Linked DNA regions of Schizosaccharomyces pombe. Changing the gene in region 1 together with any one later gene gives a genetic interaction. Each region holds a gene or a part of one and is shown in the gene's direction. Other genes may lie near its edges.

The links. Genes that interact genetically often act in the same process or in processes that back each other up.
Region 2: mutations in slx9 (region 1) and SPOM_SPAC19B12.07C together harm fitness more than expected from each alone (negative genetic interaction), as found in Schizosaccharomyces pombe (one large-scale study listed by BioGRID).
Region 3: mutations in slx9 (region 1) and def1 together harm fitness more than expected from each alone (negative genetic interaction), as found in Schizosaccharomyces pombe (one large-scale study listed by BioGRID).

The regions. Positions count from the first base shown.
Region 1 is NC_003424.3:495,256-500,888, forward strand, and holds slx9 (ribosome biogenesis protein), read left to right. Parts: upstream 1-2,801; 5' UTR 2,802-2,915; coding exon 2,916-2,918; exon of another isoform or gene 2,919-2,959; coding exon 2,960-3,475; 3' UTR 3,476-3,772; downstream 3,773-5,633. Other genes in the region: dop1 (family protein DOPEY), read left to right, coding at 1-2,434; erd1 (EXS domain-containing protein), read right to left, coding at 4,029-5,150.
Region 2 is NC_003424.3:4,893,429-4,899,801, reverse strand, and holds SPOM_SPAC19B12.07C (zinc finger protein), read left to right. Parts: upstream 1-2,774; 5' UTR 2,775-2,958; coding exon 2,959-3,392; intron 3,393-3,461; coding exon 3,462-3,677; intron 3,678-3,717; coding exon 3,718-4,027; 3' UTR 4,028-4,344; downstream 4,345-6,373. Other genes in the region: Atg8 deconjugator Atg4, read right to left, coding at 516-1,053, 1,237-1,661; rbd4 (rhomboid family protease ), read left to right, coding at 4,729-4,915, 4,966-5,182, 5,288-5,353, 5,397-5,703; RNA polymerase II CTD phosphatase Fcp1, read left to right, coding at 6,297-6,373.
Region 3 is NC_003423.3:568,522-576,349, forward strand, and holds def1 (RNAPII degradation factor Def1), read left to right. Parts: upstream 1-2,416; 5' UTR 2,417-2,539; coding exon 2,540-5,431; 3' UTR 5,432-5,799; downstream 5,800-7,828.

The DNA.
Region 1 (5,633 bases):
TGGGTTGTTTGCGCTTGTACAGGAAGTTGAGCGTTCTCCTTCATCAACTTATCGAAGTTTTATTTTGAGTCTTTTGCAAATGCTAGAATTTTTACTCTCTCGATTAGATGGGACTATAGATCTTTCCTCTGAACAGCATTATCTGTTGTCCAATTTTGTTTTGGTTGGAATGTTGAATGATGATCCAGGACTTTCGCCAAAGTGGCTACATGCTATAAAGAAGCTTTTACCTCTTCTTTTACAAAACCTTCAACTTTTGATGGTTAATCCCATTCAATCTTTGTGCAAATTTGTTCATTCATTTCTTGACCAACACGAGTCTATGTACCTAAAATACCCTGACCCAGTAAAAGATTATGCGTGCATGGATGTTTTTATTGCTAAGTTGAAAATGCTTAGCGAGTTAGTTTCAGCAGCCTTATTGGAATTCACATATTCACCCGGCCCCAAGAAAAGTAATTTAGAAGCCAATGGTATCATCGGAAATGTCATTTCTGGTGTGTTTGCAGCGGAGTCGTCAGGCGTTAGCATCGATGTCAACAAGAGATTATCTATGCTTTTAACTATGCAGGATGCTTTGCAAACATTATTTTTATCATATTCATGGCATATTCGGTCTTCATATGCTGATAAAACGTCAAAAGTATTTATGAATGATTCATCGGTTTTAAAAGAAGCATCCTTATCGGGATTAAAAGAGTTTTACTTCTGTGAACCTCTTGAATGCGTAGAAACGCTGGTACAAATCTATTTGGAGAACAATGTTGAGTGTTGCCAGTGTATATGGGATATATTTTCATTTCTTAGTGATTCTGAACCTCAGTACATTGTTAAGCAATTAGTTTCTTCTTTTTTTGCACGTGAAGGAATAGCTAGTTATGCAGGGCCTTCTAGTTTGACAGCAAAGATTACACAACTCGATATTTTATGCTGTATGTCTGACTTCGTCTCCAGAGTGGAGGGCGAAAACACATCTAAGATTTTTACGGAAATTTCAAAATTTGTTCGGGAGATTATTTCTTCCTCAAACAGCTTTAAAAACTATTTGCTGGTATGTTTACGAATGCTACTGGAAGTTGCAAAAAACGTGAACACTTATTGCGAATCTCGCCAGCAAAAAGACTTTATTGATTTGATGGGGAAAACATTGTCCTCAGTCTTATTTCATGCAGGAAAATCAAGTGATCCAAACCTAACTGTAGATTTTCTGGCGTATCATAAAGCTGCTGCAGACACGTTTGAGGTTGCCAAAACACAAAAGAAAACTAGCTCCGTGTATTTATTCGTAAAATACTTAGATCCCTCTTTGCTTGACTTTTTCTGTTCTGAGTTTGTTCCAAAAATAACCGAGCTTTCTAAGGAAGAAGATAAACTAGTTGCTTGGGCTACATCAATCGTCAATGTATTTATAACTCCTTTAGTAAAGGCTAGGACATTTCCGGAATCACTCACCACTTATCATTTGGACTTATTGCTCGTGTTGAGTAAACATCCGTTTTTGAGTAAATCATGGAGGCGCGATTTTTGGGAAATTTTTAATGATAATTCACTGTTCAGGTTCGATATTGATCAATTAAGAAAGCTTTCTCCAGTAATATACACAGCTTTGTACCAAGAGATATCTAGATTAAATGATCTCATAACAAAATCTGATTTAGGCGTTACTACTTTATTTACATCTCGGGATACTCAACTAGGTGCAAGGCAGAGCAACATATGTCGGATCACAATATTAATGTTATCTTCTCCACGTGATTTTTTCCTGCCTAGTCTTCCACCTCTGATTGACCTTGTCAAACGGCTTATAACGTCTGATCCTGAAGGAGTATTAAAAAAGGACCTGTTTTTATTTATTAGAGCTCTAGCTTTAAGGACCTCTTCGAAGCATTTGCTTCCATTATGGCCAATCGTTGTTAGCGAATTGTTGATCATTTTTAAATCTTACTGTATGCCAAATGTTGCCATTTCTAAAGAGACATTATTAGACGCATGCAGGCTTTTGGATTTTTTAACTGCACTCAAACTTGAAGAATTTGCGCTACATGAATGGGTTGTGATGCTTAGTCCACTAGATGCTGTCTATTGGAGCGGAAAAACTAGCCGTAAATCCCTCGTACAAAAGGTTTCTGAGCGACTTCAGGAGCAAGCATCGGAGAAGGACGACAAATCCAGTGTTGAATCCGAACATTCTATTCTTACTTCAACTACAAGAACCCCTTCTTTAGGCATTTACACAACGGACGCTCAATTAAGAAACTTTTTAAATCGCATTTCTATAGACGCTTATGAAGAAAGCTACTCGTTTTCAACAATCGACATACAATCTTTTGAAAATTCTATTTACAGGGAAGTTCTTCAAAGGTTTTCTAATGCTCCCCTATCTCCCTTTTCTTCAATTAAGGCTCCATCAAGCCTGGCTGGCTCCAGTAATTAATTCATAGTATTTTATATCGATTAGGAAGTCTAGGCTGTGTGGCTTCTTATGTAACTTCCAGTTACTCTAACCTAATTATTTTTGTATGTATTTTCTTTTCAAGTTTCAATGTTTATATTCGGAAAATGGCTATAGGGTTTAGTTTGCAAATACTTTAGGAACCATGTTGGACATTCATTTAAAACTGCTTTAATTTATAAAAATTGTTAATTAATGTTGTTTCTTAATTCATTGCACATAAGATGGAAATTAATGTAAGTTAAGTTTTTCATTTCAAATACTAATATTATGAAACCAACTTACGCAATCAAGGGCAGTCCGTTAAATCCGATGCCAATAGTTGTAGTGAATTTTTAAACCAGAAAGCACACCGAATATTCAAGATATTTCACTCCAATCGTAAATATTATTTTGGTTATATATCCTATTTAACATTTAAAACGATTTTTATCGATTGATTCACAATCAATTTTATTTTAGCATGGTATGTTCATCCATAGATAAACGTTTGGCTGACGACAACAGCCAAAAGCAAAAAAAAGAGTCAGTCTAGCGTCAAAAGCATCAAGTCGTTTACCGTCTTCTGGTAAACCTAGCCAACAAGCTAGTATTCCAAATGTCGAGTTATCTTCCACCGTTACTTCGAATAGTCAAGTGCTCAACAATGATCCGCTGAAAGAAACAAAGAAAGATAAACGGAAAGACCGTCATTTCAACTGGCAGCAAAAATTTTCTAATCCAAAAATATCTGCTTCGGCTCGTAAGCGCCGGAACCGTAAAGCCAGAGAAAACCTGAAAGTCAATGTGTCTTCGATTGGAGAAGTACTTCCAGAAATTGATCTTGATATTTCGGTAGCTAACTCCAGGTTGAAGCCCGTAATTAAGGATAGTTTATCTTCTAAACAAACTAAGAGTTCTATGAAACGAAATACCGTTGAGGAAATCGAAAGGTTCCAAGCCATATTGAAGCACCCTTCATTCGTTTCAAATCCTTTGGAAACGGTACGGGAGCACTTAGGAAACTCTTTGGATAGTAGATAAATAGAGCATGCTCATGTCTAGGTAAATTTGGAAGGAATTTGAGTACACTATAAATGCATGATTAATTTGGGGGGTTTTCTTTGGGAGGTTCTTTTCATACTTACTGATTATGTTTTTACAATAAAAAAGTCTACTGATCTAGTTTGTTATTCAGTATGCAAAAAGAGAGCTTGATTTATTTATTTATTATTAAATTCATGTTTTAAACTTTTGACTCAACAACTTAATCAGTAAAAGATGGTGAAATTTGTTCAAACCCATTACGATTCCCATGTAACAAATAAAAGTATATATCCATAATAAAATTTTAAGTAACTTTCTTACTTTAAGTAAACCCAATTCAGCGAGACGGTGCCATTGTGTTGCAAGTCCGCAAATGACAATGTACTTGCAATATTAAACCATTAGCGCAATAAAAGAATGAAAAACATATTATATGCCAAGCAAATAATAGAACGGTAAATTGATACGCCCTAAAGAAAGAAATTTTTTGAAAAGGTTGCAGATGTAATACCTACACATATGTGACAATAGTAACTTCAATCATTTCCATTTAATCTGGATGTATTGTCGGGATGTCACTACGATCACTTATGTTAACATAGGCCAATGATTTAGAAGCTTCGGCTTCTATCCGAAAAAAAACCCAAACACAACGTCGGAAAACTTCAAGAAATTGCATTATAAAGATCCCAAAGTCGGTGGTAAAAAACGCGGATTGATGTTCAGGCAAAACGCGAACTACCCAGGCCATTCGCAAAACAAAATCAATCGCACTTACAACTGCAAATGTGAATGTTGGGAATAAACGCCGAACCCCAAATTTCCAGTTTTGGATTGATAACGGTTGCTTAAAAAAGGGAAGACTCCAATCCATTGAAACATCCCACCAAAATGAATAAGTTGAATTTATAGCTGAAGAGGTATTCCATAAAAACCATAGAAAGCTAAATCTTTTCTTTGCAAAAATCCCAAGGAATATCGCTGGAAAAGCAGTGAAATACTTGATAGAATTCAATGTACTCCAAAATTTATCTGATGAATTATCCGCAGAGCTTCTTTCAATCAAACATTGACGAAATCGGATAGCGTATGGATACGCTGCAATCATTGACATAATAACCTCATTTTCATATTGTTTTCTATGAGAGTTATTAGGTGAGTCAGTTACGTAAATCAAGATTGCTCCAGCTAGCCAGAGATCAGCAATGACCCTCGAGTAAGAAGTCAATAAATCAGAAAATATAACATCGGGAAATTTGTAATCAGGTCTGTAGCTTCCTCCCAAAATCCTTAGACACTGTCGAGTAAACACCTTTCTCTGGAAGAACCAGAACTTATGTACAGGCATAAAAACAATAACACCAAAAATAAAAACGGGGACGTATGCCAATTCATCAGACCCAGAAATCAAATATAAGGATTCGGCTATTACGAAAAGTAGAGTACCTAATATAGATAGGGAGAATGACAATTGCCATAGAGGAGCATTAGCTTGCTGTGATCGATTGACAGGCAACGGAGTATGTAATAATGAGAACACGTCGACCCTATTTATCACTAATAGATGTAATATCAATGTGAAAGAATAAAGACCAAATACGACCAAGAAGAATAATCTCAATACTAGAGGAAAATAATTGATAAAGTGATTCAAATCCTCTATCAACGCCATATTAAATAAAAGGGAGAAAATCTGAAATAATATATTAAAATAAACTTGAATGCAATTATACAATGGATGAATTTTTACAAAGAGAGACGCAAACAGTGTAAAATATGTCGAGTCAAGTTGTACAGCCGATCTTCTAATTATGATGATAAAACTTGACTCATAAATAATGAAAATTATCAAATAAAGGGTTCTATGATGATAGAGATTAGCATTACTGCTTGAATGTCGAGAGGTGCGTTGTGGAAATGAATGCAATAGGGTACACCAAGGTAAAATCTTAAATACCACCACAGCCAAGAATCATGTTGGTCTCTACAAAGAATGGTGGGATTTTACAGTAAAACTTAAAACATGAAAAAGTAAGGTGAATTTTTAAATATATGACGAAACTTGTGTTATGCTGAATATTAATATTAAGCTGACAATGAGTGGTTTGGTTTAGTAGCATATAGATGATGCGAGTAGAGCAAATGGGTTACGCTT
Region 2 (6,373 bases), 4.4 Mb from region 1:
TTAGTAATGCACATTGTATAATATAAGTTTTTGAAATTTACTCACAGGGAAGAACATCAGATGAAAAGAAAAGCGTAACAAAGAGACATTAAAAACAAGAACAAAATCCTCACGAAATATAACACATAAACATCCATTTCAAATACGCACATTTAATAAAAAATCAAACAGACTCATTGTTTAACAGTTTTCAAAGATAAAGCATGAAATTAACAATAAGGAGACCGGTTGAATAGAAGGGAAACACTGACCAAATAATAGCACAAGCACAACTAAACGCTTAACGATTAAAAAAATATCCCTTTAGCCGATTTGGGATGGAGAAGGAATTCAAGAAACCGGGATAATAAATTTCCTTGAAAAACGTTGGATAAATAATTATTCATTAAGTTACTAAACCCAAAGCGTAAATGCTACTAGGGTCAGTTCATAATTACATATGTCATAAATGCGAAGTCGTTAGTATTATAATTTCAAATTTATAAATAAAACTTGAAACAGTAGTAAACAATGGATTAAAGATGATCTTCAACATTCTCATCCAAAACGAAATCATCATGTGTCTCGACTGGTTGAGGTTCGGAGTCGAAAATCTGAACTATGTCGGCAAAATATTTTTGATTCGCTTCAAATGAATGCCATTCTTCTTCATCTCGAATTAAGAACCCAAAGATCATACAGGGATCAAGATCTTGTATTGCTACTCTTCGTAAAGTAGCACTATGAAAAGTTTCCTCGGAAGCAGGCTGGGTGGTAGTGTGAGCAAAGTGAGTACAATGAGGATCCAGATAAAAAAAGTACTGATTTTGTCTTGCATAAAAGTAATGAGCAGACCTTGGACGACCTCCAGTGATGCCAACAAATGAACGAATTTCAAACACCTGAAGCAACTGATCGTAGTATGATTCATTAATTGAATCAATTCCTAAACGGGTAGGAATTAAAAGTAAAACAGGAAAGGAGACCTTTGAAAGTTGATCTCGGTATATAGCATTTCCATTCCTGGCAACATAAACGTGTAATGGGACGTCCGGGTTCTGATCACTTAATCGACTTTAACAAAAAGTTAGTAAATGTCATACTGACTGAATTCCAAAAAAAAAATAAAACGTTCAAAATTTTTCTTCTTTTTTTTAAAAAGGATAAAAAAGAACGGAAGAAATTCGAACTATGTGAAGAGATCAATTGTTCTTTTATCGACCAGAAAACTCAATTTAAATAACAAGAAACACTTACGCAACACAAGAACAAGATGTTGTAGGTCCAAACCATTGCCCTGGATTAATATCGCACAAAGTTTTGCCCATTGTAACAAATTGATGGATAGAAAAAGGGGCTGAAGGCTCATCAGCAAATAGTGCCAATATTTCTTTCAATTGTTTTTCAGGATAGCAGATTCGTAAACAATTTGCTAATAGTGTCTGAGTGGATCGAATCATACAACCCCAACCGGTGTCAGATGTCATATTTTCAAGCCCTTCAATACCACTACGATAAGTGATTGTAATAAGAGAGAATGAGTCGTATAAAAATTTTTCAGGCCATTGGCTATCTTCAATTTTGTAAGAATGTCCTAAAAACCAAATTAATGTCCCTGGAGGCTCGGTGTTTGTCGGTGCAAAATGTAAATATCGCTCTAGAAAGCGAGCCATAAGCTCCATTCCCCTTTTTGAAATTTTTTTCTATTACCTTTATTTTTTCTCAAAATATTTAAACCAAACTTCACGTCGTCAGATGTTCACATGAAAGCGTACATACACCCCCTTTAGACTAAGCAAAGGCTAACTTGATTAATATAGTGTTTGGGATAAGATATGGTGGGAGTGAAGTCATGTTTGCGAGTACTACTATGGTCTGCTAAATAACTTTACAAACACCTTAGTATTCGTAAATGATTTTGTGGAATTGTTTCAAATATTTTAATTAACTTTAATATGTCAGCAATACTACACTACGCTATGATACACTACGTTGCGTATCACTATATGTCATATGTTGGAATACTAGCTAAGATCCGTTTATTGATAATCACGGGTAACTATCCGTCTATATACATAGATACCCGTTGATAACAACTATTTAGAAATATTATAAATAGCGTTACAACTGAACCTCGTTCCTCAGTTCAGTTATGAGCTATATTAGTGATAGGTAACATTATAATCCAGTTAATACAATACCTATACTCAGTTGCTACTTATACAACCTGTGTATTGTAATATAATAGACCACAAGGAAAACTCACCGCAGTTCTACGTATCCTTAAATCAGATACCAAACTGCGTAGCTTACATAATATTACGTTAAACTACGATAAGTACTTACGACCTGCTTTATTATACGAAAAGTAAATAATGTGATACAATAACTGGAGCAACGCAAAAATCTCCGTAGTAAATGAAGTTCAGGCTTGCTCCATCACCGAGCAAACGAATAAATGAACAGTTTTGAGTCTAGAGACAAAAATATTATCGATTGATATTTGTTCAAAATAAAGGACATGAATTAGTAGCTTTCCATGCGATATATGTTTTCATTTTAAAGATATTACCAACAATTACAGTTTAAAAAAGATACAGAATCCACATAAGAGTGATATCTTTTAAATGTGCTTTTTAAAAGTAGAAATGCTCGATAGTAGTCAGTACTATAAATATTTTTTAGAGAACTCGTTTTAATTATCCTTTTTTGTTACTACATTATTCTCATAATTTTAAAGTTGATTAACGCAATGTGTAATTTTAGCCTCACTGCTGGATAACTTGGCCTATTCTATGCATATCCATACGATATTATCGGTGATCTAAGGAAGAAGGGACTAAAACTAAAGAAGTAAATTATTATTTATTGAATTCCGCATTACTTAGACTTGAAACTGTTTAATATATCTTAAAAGAATAAAAATTAAGACACTTGGTCATTGGGCAACTTCAATGAATTTCAAGAACACCGACTAGAATGAGTTCCGACGATGCTATAATAATTCGATGCCCTTTTGATTGTGAATTTGCTGGTGACTCGATTTCTTTTATAAGCCACCTTACAACTATACACAATTCGTCAGTACAGACGTTAGCTAAGAATGCTTATTTATGCGCATCAGAGATTGCCAATGAGCTCAACCAGAATCCAAATTTGAAAGACCAAGAAATACTTTTACTACAAATTGCTCAAGAAAATTCACTTAAACGAGTCTTAAGGCAACAGCAAAAAGAACGGAGAGAGGGAAAAATAAAATCCTTACAATGTTTGTTCTGTAATAATGAAGGTCTTTTAAACCGTCAAGAATGGTTTGAACATAGTTTTCACGTTCACGGGCTTAATATCGGATTAGCAGACAATATTGTTTACATAAATCGGTTACTTGAAAAGATAAAGAATGAACTAGAAAGGTAATCATATTTATCAGTTTTATTTGTGTTATTACTTCTTTCCGTCATATTCTAACATCGTTTGATAAGTTTTAGATGTCTATGCTGTCATGTCCCTTGCAAAAATAAAAAGCTTTTACGAGAACACATGAATAACAAGCGGCATTTCCGGCTTGACCCAAAATCGTCAGAATACGATGAGTTCTATATTATAAATTATGCTTCTGTTACAAAAAGTATCACCATTTCGCATTCACAGTTTGCAATTAATGAAGACATAAATGAAACTGATGATACTATATCTGAGTATGTATTCAAATATTCCTTTTTTTTTAACATTTTACAGTATAAATGATGAGGATGCAGAACCATTATCTGTGGAATGTATATTTTGCACTAATTTCTATGAACCAGTTTTTTGTTTTGAACATTGCAAAATCGTTCACGATTGGGATATCAAGAAAATTCAAAAGGATTACAGCTTGGACGTTTATGGGGCCATAAGGGTGATAAATTATTCCCGGAAAACTAAAAAGAAGTCTATTCCAGCTGAAACAGATAGTTTTTGGAAAGAGCCTGGATGGTTGATTCCTGTAGTGCCAGACGATGCTTTAATAATTTGCTTAAGTGAGGTGATTGAGGACCCTCGACTTTAGTTTGATGTTTCCTAACATTATCCTCTTGTTATGTATTTAAATAAATCACTTAACAATTTAAGGCATAGTTTCCTGAAGTCTCGTAAAGACATTAATAAGAGGGAAAGATATTTAAAAAAACGGTTATAATATAGATAACACCTACACTGGTCGCTGAGAAAGATTTGAATGTGAAGTTGAAGACACGAATTATTTATTTGACTTAATGTATGTATAAAAGGTTCTACCTAGTTTTATTGTTTTAGGCTGTCTTTATATATTTAACGGAATTATTTGTCTGTATTTTCATAAAAATGAACACCCTGTTTACTGTTTGCTAGATTTGCTTTATATAATTCTACTTACAATGAATCTTATTTCAATTAATCATAATAATTATATTTGCTGTTTACTTCACTCGATTGCGATTATTTGCAAAACTGTGATTAATTACTACCTTTATCTTTAGCAGATGGAAATTCTTAATAGTCATTGTATGTAAAATTATATAAAACTCAATATTTTCCCTTGAAAAATAATTGGTTAGTCGAACTTGTATTGCGATTGACTTTCATATACACCTTGGCTGGTATAACCAGCGCTTACTTTACCTTGCTATAAACCAACAAAGTCAATATTCCTAAAACTTTTTTAAAAAGGGAATATTTTAGACGAATTATTACCGAGAGAAGGTAAAAGGTGTAACTTAATTAATAAATAGCATGGCCATTGAACTAGGAGAACGTATTTCGACATCGGTCGGATTTTTAGCGGAACTTTTCCTTATGAAAATTCCACTCTTCACTGTGATTGTTGCCCTGTTAACTATCATTCTTGGAATCGTAAACATTTTCTTGCCTATCGTTGACTTTTTTGGCCTAAGCTGGCATAATTTAATAAACATTCGCCGTATGTTAGAATAAATATATATTCCTGAAACAAACTGACAAAGTACGCAGTTCATACCCTAAACACATATCCGCTCGTTCATCATGGAGTAATTTCTTTCATTTTAGGACTTTTAGGAATTTTTCTTCTTATGCCACGTTTTGAACGCAGATACGGAACATTATGTACAATCGCCATGTTTTTTGGATTTTTGGAAGTAATTCCTGCCATTGCATACTTAATAGCTTGCTATGTTGCTGAGTCTGACGATGTCTATGTTGGTATTGGGTATGTTTTTTGTCTCTCATAAATGATATTAAATTGTTTGAAAATTTATATCTAACTTTTTCACCTTAAAATTCTTTTCTTGGATATACATGCTAATGTTTTTAGTGGTTGGGTTTATTCGCTTCTGGCTATGTATCTCTTGAATCTTTTTGGAGATTTGCATCCCAAACTGTATGACTGTACTTATTCAACGTTATAATTAACAATATTTTAGTTTGAATCTTCCTCAAGTCGTAAGGATGGCATTAGCTTTAGTAGCTCCTGTCTTAGGACTTCCGTTAGATTTTTCAATTACGATCGTTTTGCACCTTACTGCTGTCGTTATTTCTATTATATTTTCCTTCGCTTATATGGACTTTTTCCTGCCACGAGGAGGCTTTCTTGTCTGGGTTGAAACGAAATTTTCTAAAATTATCGATGCTATCCCCAATTATATATCCGTGACAGAAGCTGCTTATTATCAGGCAGACGGTGCTATCCCTATTCAAGATTTGGGTAGTAACAGCAGTGGTATTGTATAAAAGCTTTATAGTTATATTTACTGTTGTACAAATTTGCCTACTTCTGTAACCGTTTCATATGTTTAATAATCCTTTAGCAAGTCAAAAAACGCCAAATCTCTAATGAACAGTATATTTGTTTCGTATGATTCGTTTGAAAGTAATAATCGTCGTTTTTTTTTTGAATTCTATTACAGTAAAAGTCATTCAAGGACATGACTAGACTTATTGAAAGTATCAAAAATGATGATTTTAGTATTTTTTGTAATTACTTTAGTAATATCGTAATTACGAGTTTTGACACTATCTTTAGAGGTGACTCATTCATGCTTTGCCAAATGCGATAAAACCACTTATTTTTATTGTACCTTCAGTGGGGGTTTTAGTAAAAAATACCAATCTTCATAAATGTTTCCATTGTTTTTTCTTTACTGACGGACAATACTAACTAACTTACCAAGTTGTTAGTATCTACGCCAGACCTACTCTTTACCAAGACCAACCGCTGATAACATATCTTAACGTATCCTTGGAATTTAAACGTTTACCAAGGACTATATGAGGCGATTGTCAATAAAGAACACTTCGATTTTGTTTATATTAGCTAGTCATTCATGTCGAAACGATTGACACCAATTCACCTTCCGAACTCGTTGAATTATCCCATTGAAATCGCGAGCTGTCTAGTTCC
Region 3 (7,828 bases), on another chromosome or scaffold:
AGGCTCACCTCTAGATACACAATCTAATATGCTTCGTAAATTTCGCAAGCTCAATGTTTATTTGGGATTAGAGATATCTTCATTATGCTTTAAAACAGTGCTTTTACATACTATAAGAAATTCAGTCTTGCCATTGTATTACATATAAACTGGTTTCCAATAGTTTCGAGAAGGGTCGATTTTGGAAAGGGTTGAAATCGGTTTAGTTTATGATATTTTCAATAATGTTAAAATACTGTTTGTCGTTTTAACTTGGGACTCGTCTTGGCTGATTTGAATAAACCACTGAAGTTTTTTGTCTTTCTTTTTTATTCCTCTGAATCGGAAATACTTTTCCCGATAAGCGTTTCGAATGAATAGAATTGAAATTGTTTTGTCCCTTTACTTTCTACTTATATAAAAGAAGACGCACTTCTTTTGGAGACATATTCTCAAACAACACAAAATATGCTGGATTGTAAATACTCAGTTTAAACACATATGAGAACTTAAAGTAAGATATCTTTATTATCAATTTATTTTATTAGCTTCACATGAAGGAATATAAATTACATTTATTTCAAAACCTGATTAATACTTGTTCGCAGCTTTAGGTATGTGTATAAATTTATTAAATATGCTTAGTAACTGTCTACGGCCACACCTAGGCGAAAACACCAGTTCCCGTCCGATCACTGCAGTTAAGCGTCTGAGGGCCTCGTTAGTACTATGGTTGGAGACAACATGGGAATCCGGGGTGCTGTAGGCTCCTTTCTTTTTTTTTCGGAATATTATTTTATTCTTACAATGTTAACGGCTTCACTGAATTTTTTATGCTGCTTTGTTGATGATACTGTAAAAAATAGTGACAAATAAAGATTTTGAAATATATCAAACCTATCTGTAAACATTTGAGAACAATTCTAGCGTACGAATTAACTTGTCCATATCTTGTTGTCATACGAATGCACTGTTTATTGTTCATCGTTGACAGTTTTCAATGTAAAATCAATTTTTTATTTGAGAAAATGGTTTCTAATGTGCCGCTTTTGTTAAAAAATTATAGTGCAACAATAGATAGATATGCTATTCCTTGAAATGTGGGTTTCTTTTCATTACTCTTTACAGTTTTCTGTTATGTTGTCGTTTTGAAAATGGACTCTTCACAAGAAGAGAGTATTGACTTTAGCAATTTAAACATAGAATCTTAGCACGTTTGATTTTATTATTTTATAATTAGTTAGTCATTTGAATTGCCAAAAATGGTGACTTAATTTTGGTTACTAACAATTGAATAAAAAAATAAAATAAAAATAAAAAGAAGAAAAATCAATATAAATTGCGAGATGATACTACTAAAGTTCACAGCAATTTTTTTTAAAAAACAACGAAAATTTGTAAAAAATGACAAAATTAAAGATGAAATAGTAAAATAATGCGAACGCTTCATCAAACCATTTGACACATTAGTTATAAGCATTGACAGAAACTTTGATAATAATGCTTTTAGAATTTATCTTAATATAACTAGGCGATTATTCAGCTGTACAATTTAGTTTTTTTGAATAAATTATAATGTTATTTTATCAATATTCTATGTTTTTATAACTCTACAATTAAATAGATATATGCTTTTTAATAGAGCATTCTAACAAGCTTTGGTGGTTTAGTGGTATAATGAATCGTTGCCATCGATTCGACCCGGGTTCGATTCCCGGCCAAAGCAATGTTTCTTGTTTTTATTGTTAATTTAATATTAGCAGGCTTCATATTTATTTTTTTAGATAAAGGGCATCACGTTTATAAGTGTGGTTCACTTGAACCCAACAAAGTGAATGAAGAGCTTCGAATGTTACTGAAGCCGCGTAATTAGAACGGATGGATTATTACTTGAAGCAGTAATTAAAGTTTTCATAAATTGACCAACTGAATACCCGATATTGCATTGCAAATTTCTAAACATACCAACGTGTTAGGAATCTGTAATAGCAAAGCATGGAACGAAAGGTGTTTAGTCAACTTGAATTTAGCTAAACGAATTGCACATCTTTTAACAGTATCGAAGAAATTGGGCAATAGAAAAGTTAATACAATGAGCTCTACTTTCATCATATTTTCATGTATTCAGGCAAGCAGCTAACTAGCTATTGTCTTAAGAGCAATAAAGATACACAACGGTAAATCGTTAAATACAATAGTAAACTGCACTCCACTACTATATAAATCAAGCTTTTAGAAAAGGTAATCGCAAAAATGAAGAAAAAGTAAAGTAAAATTTAAACAATAACATTGTTCTTTATAACGTTATAAGTTTTTCTATGTATAAAAATTTCAAGGAAAGCTATAGTTTGCACTTTAGCGCATTCACTACCACCTTGCTCTGGTATAGGCAATTTCCATTTAAGCAAAAGCACTATGCTGCACGACACCAAAACGCAGCCAGAACCACTACCCTTAAATAACACGAAAAATCTTGCATATCGTCTTGAAGCACGAATACACGTGCCTTGTCGATTTTCAAGACCTGTATTAATTTTTGTAAAGAAAAGTAGAATCAAAAATGAGTGAGAATAAAAAGTTTCGGCCAAAGAAGGTCGGAAATACCGAACAAGTTTCAGAAAAGCAACACACAGATACAGCGTTAAATATATCGCAAGATAATAAAACTTCATCCTCTTCCGCCAAGAGAGGAGCGAAGGGAAGGCGAGGCACCAAAGGAAAATCTGGCCCGGCAAATTCGTCTCAGACTAGTAATATAGAGGGATCAAATGCGCTTGAGCTCGAATTTGATCGTGATTCGCAGTTAAGCGTATTGCAAGAGCTGTTTCCTAGCTGGACGATTGATGATTTAAGTTTTGCTTTAGAAGAAGCGGACCGGGATTTGGAACTGACCATATTGCATATTACTGAAGGTCACGCCTCCAAATGGGGTGAAGTTAAAAAGAAGCCAATCCCTAAAACAAAGTCCAAACCAACAAGTCATGCTCCAGTTTCCGATAATGTCTCTTCCACCTTTCGTAATGCTACACGTAAATCAAAGAAACCTTCCGCTTCTAAGGATACTTCTCGGGGGGTTCGAAAATCAAAAGCAGGAGCTCCCTCAGATCCTTCTTCCGTTCATGCACCATCCTCTTTAGAAAAGCCTGCTGGTACTGGCGATCTTCCTTCCTCAGAAATTTCTACCAAAGCTCCTGCATCAACGACAGTGTCTTCTTCCGTTGATCCTGGTACTATTAATGAAGATTCCTCAATGAAAGATCATACTACATCTAATGAACAAGCTTCAGTTTTAACATCGGCTAATACCGCTGCTTCAACAAATACGAACGGCACCGCAGGCGGTACTTCGGCCTCAGCAAAGTCGACCAGTGCGGCTGATCAGGCTGTTGCATCTTCAAAGCCTATAAAGAAGGCTTGGGCTTCAGTTGCAAAGTCGAAGAAAAAGGTCACTCCCGCTCCCGCTCCCGCTCCCGAATCCGAACCTTCTAAACCCTCTATCGCTCCTTCTCAACCCTCTAAAACTAATGTTTCCGCTGCTTACGAAAAACCTGCTGAACTGTCATCCTCATCTGTTCCTTTCCCTCACAAATCCCAGGACTCTGCAACTCCCGCAAATGTTGAAACGACCCCCTCCACAGCTACCTCAGCTCCCAAAAAGAGTACTGCCCCATTTGCCATAAATGCAGTCAAGCCCGCTCCTGGGCTTTCCAACATCTCTTCTGCTTCCCTACCTAAGCCCTCCTTTGCGAAGCAAGCCGCTGTTGGCTCTCAAAGCTCTACAACTAGTATGACTACTGCTCGATTACTTTCTGATAGATTCCCCGTCGTTATGCCTGTTGCTAATACTGCTGCTATTCCCGAAAAGGTTCAAGTGCGTTTCGGAAGCTTGACACTTGGGGGTGAGGACAAAAAATCGACAAAGTCTTCTTCAGACAACATAGCACAGTCTGGACCAAGAAGTTCCTATTTTCCTAAAAAGACAGTTTCACCAAAGCCAGAGGCAAAAAAAGAGGCGAGCAAAGTTGCTGAATCCACCAAAATCCCAAAGAAACAACACACTTCAGCATATGAAAGCCGTGCTCCACAATCGAAGGTTCCCGAAAACTTGAAGGAATCTCATGTTAACGAGACACCATATCGTGGTTTACACGATGTAAATTTACCGGCCAGTGGAAACGCCTCTTCTGTCTCGGCCATCCCTCCTCAAGTATCAGCCCAAACGACTATACCCGCTGCATCCACAAGTGCTACAAGTGGCCCGGTGGTTGGTAAACAAAGTGCCGGATATGGCGGTATTTATTCTCCTGCTACACATGGAATTTCCCCTCAACCATATGCTGGTGCTAGTCTTATTCCTCCGTCTACCGGAGCTGCTTTTAACAACGAAACTGCATCTTCAAATGCTGGGGAGACAACTGCACTTCCATATTCTTCTAGATTTATGAATCCTGTGGAAAACCGCTCCGCCAATAGCCCATTCGACAATTTTCAACACATCGACCATAGTACTGAATTGGGATATGCTTCAAATACTTCTCAACAATATCAACAGACTAGTCATCCAGCATACACTACTATGTCTCCTATTGAATATGGTCAAGCTGCACCAGCAGCTCATTACTATAATGAGCGTAATCAATACTCACAATATGATAATGTCGCTGGTAGTGCGTCGAATACACCAGATGTGCACTCGGTAATGCATAACAAGGTTGCATCTTCTAATGCTACTTCTCTACCTGCTGCTGGAACAGCGACTCCTAGCCCTGTTGTTTCTCAACAACAGCCCCAACCTTATGCATTTCCTCCAATGTATCCTATTCCTTATGTGTCTTATGGATACGGTACGATGCCTTACAATAATAACAAGTTTGGACAGCCCCAGCAAGGATACATGTCTCAGAGCGGCTTTAATGATTTCCCTCCCATCTTTGGTGGACACAGCAACGTGTACAACAGACAACAGCCTGGCAATGTAAGTGGTATGAGTGGAACACAAACTAGCAACCCAATTAATAATGCCACTGCAAATACTAGCGGCATGACTGAGAAAGCGGCTGGACATCGTGACTCTGTGATTGGAAATGGAGGCGTAACCGGGGCGAACAGCATGTCAAGTACTTTGGGTGGTTTGTCTTCCATGTCAGGGATGGGACGTGCGGCTCCTGGTATGTTTATGGGTAATGTTGGAAGTTTTGAAAACCTTAGTGCCAATGCGGCCTCTCCTTATGGCTTACCTCCTCAACAAACGCCATTGACCAATGCTGCTACTCAGCAGACAACCTCTTTTCAAAGCAATGCTAACAAGGTCAACAATGCAAACAGCCAACCCGCTGGGTTTCCGTTCAACTCTGGAGCATCTACCAATGCAGGTAGTAATGGATTAGGAGGCTATAATGCATACAACCAGTCATTTATAAACCGACCAGGAGGTTGGTACGGTAATGCTTAAATTGAACTTATGATCAAAAAGTTTGATAACGTAGAAGTTGGAAAATGCTTTTTATAAGGATTCAAAAATAGGCTAAAAATAATTGCGGACAAGATGCTATTAATGGAAGGGTAAAATCGATTTTATTGGGACAATCGAATTTATGAAGTTTTTCAATATATATATGTGTGTGATTTATATGGCTATGTGGTCACATGTGTTTTCTGTTTGATAGTGCTTAATTATGTAGTTTGAAATGTTGCTTGTTCATATCATAACATATCATACCACGCCGTAATGTTGCCATTATATGGTAATTCCTTGTATGTTCATAGAGTATTTTTTTATTGCATTATTAAAACAAACTGGCGTTTTGGAAGAGGGAAAGGGTAAATAAAGATTTGATGTTAAGGTATTTGTAGGTGTGGGTAAGCAATGCGAAGTGGGATAACTAGTTTCAAGTAATGATTATTATATTTCCAAAAGTCAAGTGCTAATGAAACACGTTTAATCAGTTGGCAATTTAGGGGGGTGGTTCACTCGGCATTCCTATTTTAAACAATTTTTGACGGCAAATGTTAAGCGAATTCGCTAAAGCAAAGTGTAAAAAAAAAAAAGCTTCGCTAGTAATATATGCCACACTTCAGTCAACAACACTACGTCAACCCTATACGCTAAGTCTACTGAATAGAAAAACTTGATACTTTTATTTACATTGAAATGAAGAGCAAATTTGTATAATACGTATTATTGATTCTAGAAATATAGCAAATTGAAACATCCAAATTTAGCAAAACAGCATGTCGCTGTTGTAAAATTCTCATGAAAAAATAGAATGTCTAACCTTCACTACTGGCAAGATTCGTTCATGTAGATGTAGTTGAAGAAGAGACAGTGTCATACACAAACGTAGAAAAAGTTCTGAAAAGGAAAAAGACTCCTAGTAGATTATAATTCAAATCAAATCAAACCAATTAAATTCAATAGATCGATGTCTTGAAACATTAATTCCTATAAGGTTGAAAATAGTAGCAATATAACGCAAAAATAGCGAGTCGTAATAGCAAGTAAAATGGTAGTCATTATAAAGGGTTAACTGTATTTCAAGTATAAAGAACGGAGAAAGTTGGAGCAATGGCAATAACACATCGAGGAGTAATTTAGGAAAGTAGTGAGAAAGATGTTAGAAAGGAAATTTAGTAATTTGTAAGTAATGATTTCAGAACTTGGAACGTGAAAGGGAAAAAGATATTTTCATCATAAAGAAAAATTTGCCCATCGTGAAATAGAGAAATAGTGAGAAGAAAACCACCACCGAAATAGCGAGACCCGCAGTATGTTACTTCACGAGTCTCGCTATTTTAGGATTGCATAGGTTATCGGATGGAATCCAGTAAACAAATGGGTAAGGAAAAGTGCGATCAATGATGAGTGGGTTGGGTTACAAATCAATATAGTCAGGTGAAATTAATTCGTTTCTCGATATAAAAGCAATTGAGAAAGGAATTGGATAAAATTTACAGAGAATTAAAAAATGGAGACAAGAAATAAGTGAAATGGGAGTGAACGCTCTTGTAAAAAAGCTATTGAGACAAGTGAAACGGTGAGAGAATGCGTTGACAAATGTGAAAGAAAAGAGAAAAGGGAATGAATATTTATAACAAAAAAAGGTAACAGGATTATCGATGAATTTTGGGGAAAATTTATGTTGAATTGCATGACTTTTTAGAAATCACGCCTCGAATACCGTTAGACATATCATGGTAAACATGTGATTTAGGAATTGGCACATGTAAATGAGGTTGTTGGGTAGAGAGCGGATTTGAATGGTGGTAGATAATTTAGGGTAAATTTGGGATGGATAGAGTAAATGTGAAAATAGTATGTAGGATGGCGGGGGATGCGTGCGAAAGAAAAAGAACGATGCGAAATGAATTGTAAAGTATGTGACTTGGGATGATGCGAAAAAAAAAGAGTCTGGAATAAAATTTGAAGAAGAGAAGAAATACAGTAGGTGGGAGTGCAATGAATTGAATTGGAAGCGAGGAAGCGAACAAAATCGATGGATAACAAGTGAATGAACAACAAAGTGAATTTAGTTTAAAGTCAATTGCTTTGTTGAAAATCAATTTCCTCTGTTTTATCAAGTGTGCGAAGGACAAAGGGAGTAAGAAAGATTCAAAAAAAAAAAAGAAAAGAAAAAGAGGAATTCCTTTTATGAGACATCCAGTTTGTTTGCGAGAACGCCAAGAACTCAAGCGAATATGGAGAGACGACGGTGAAACACGGTATGTTGCATAGTGTAGTGCGGGGTGGATTGCAAGGAGAATGGGTAAATTAGCAAGCGAGCTGGACCCCATTACTGTGATGCATGAGGTAACGCAATGTGCTAAAATGTTTTGGAAAGAATGACACTCT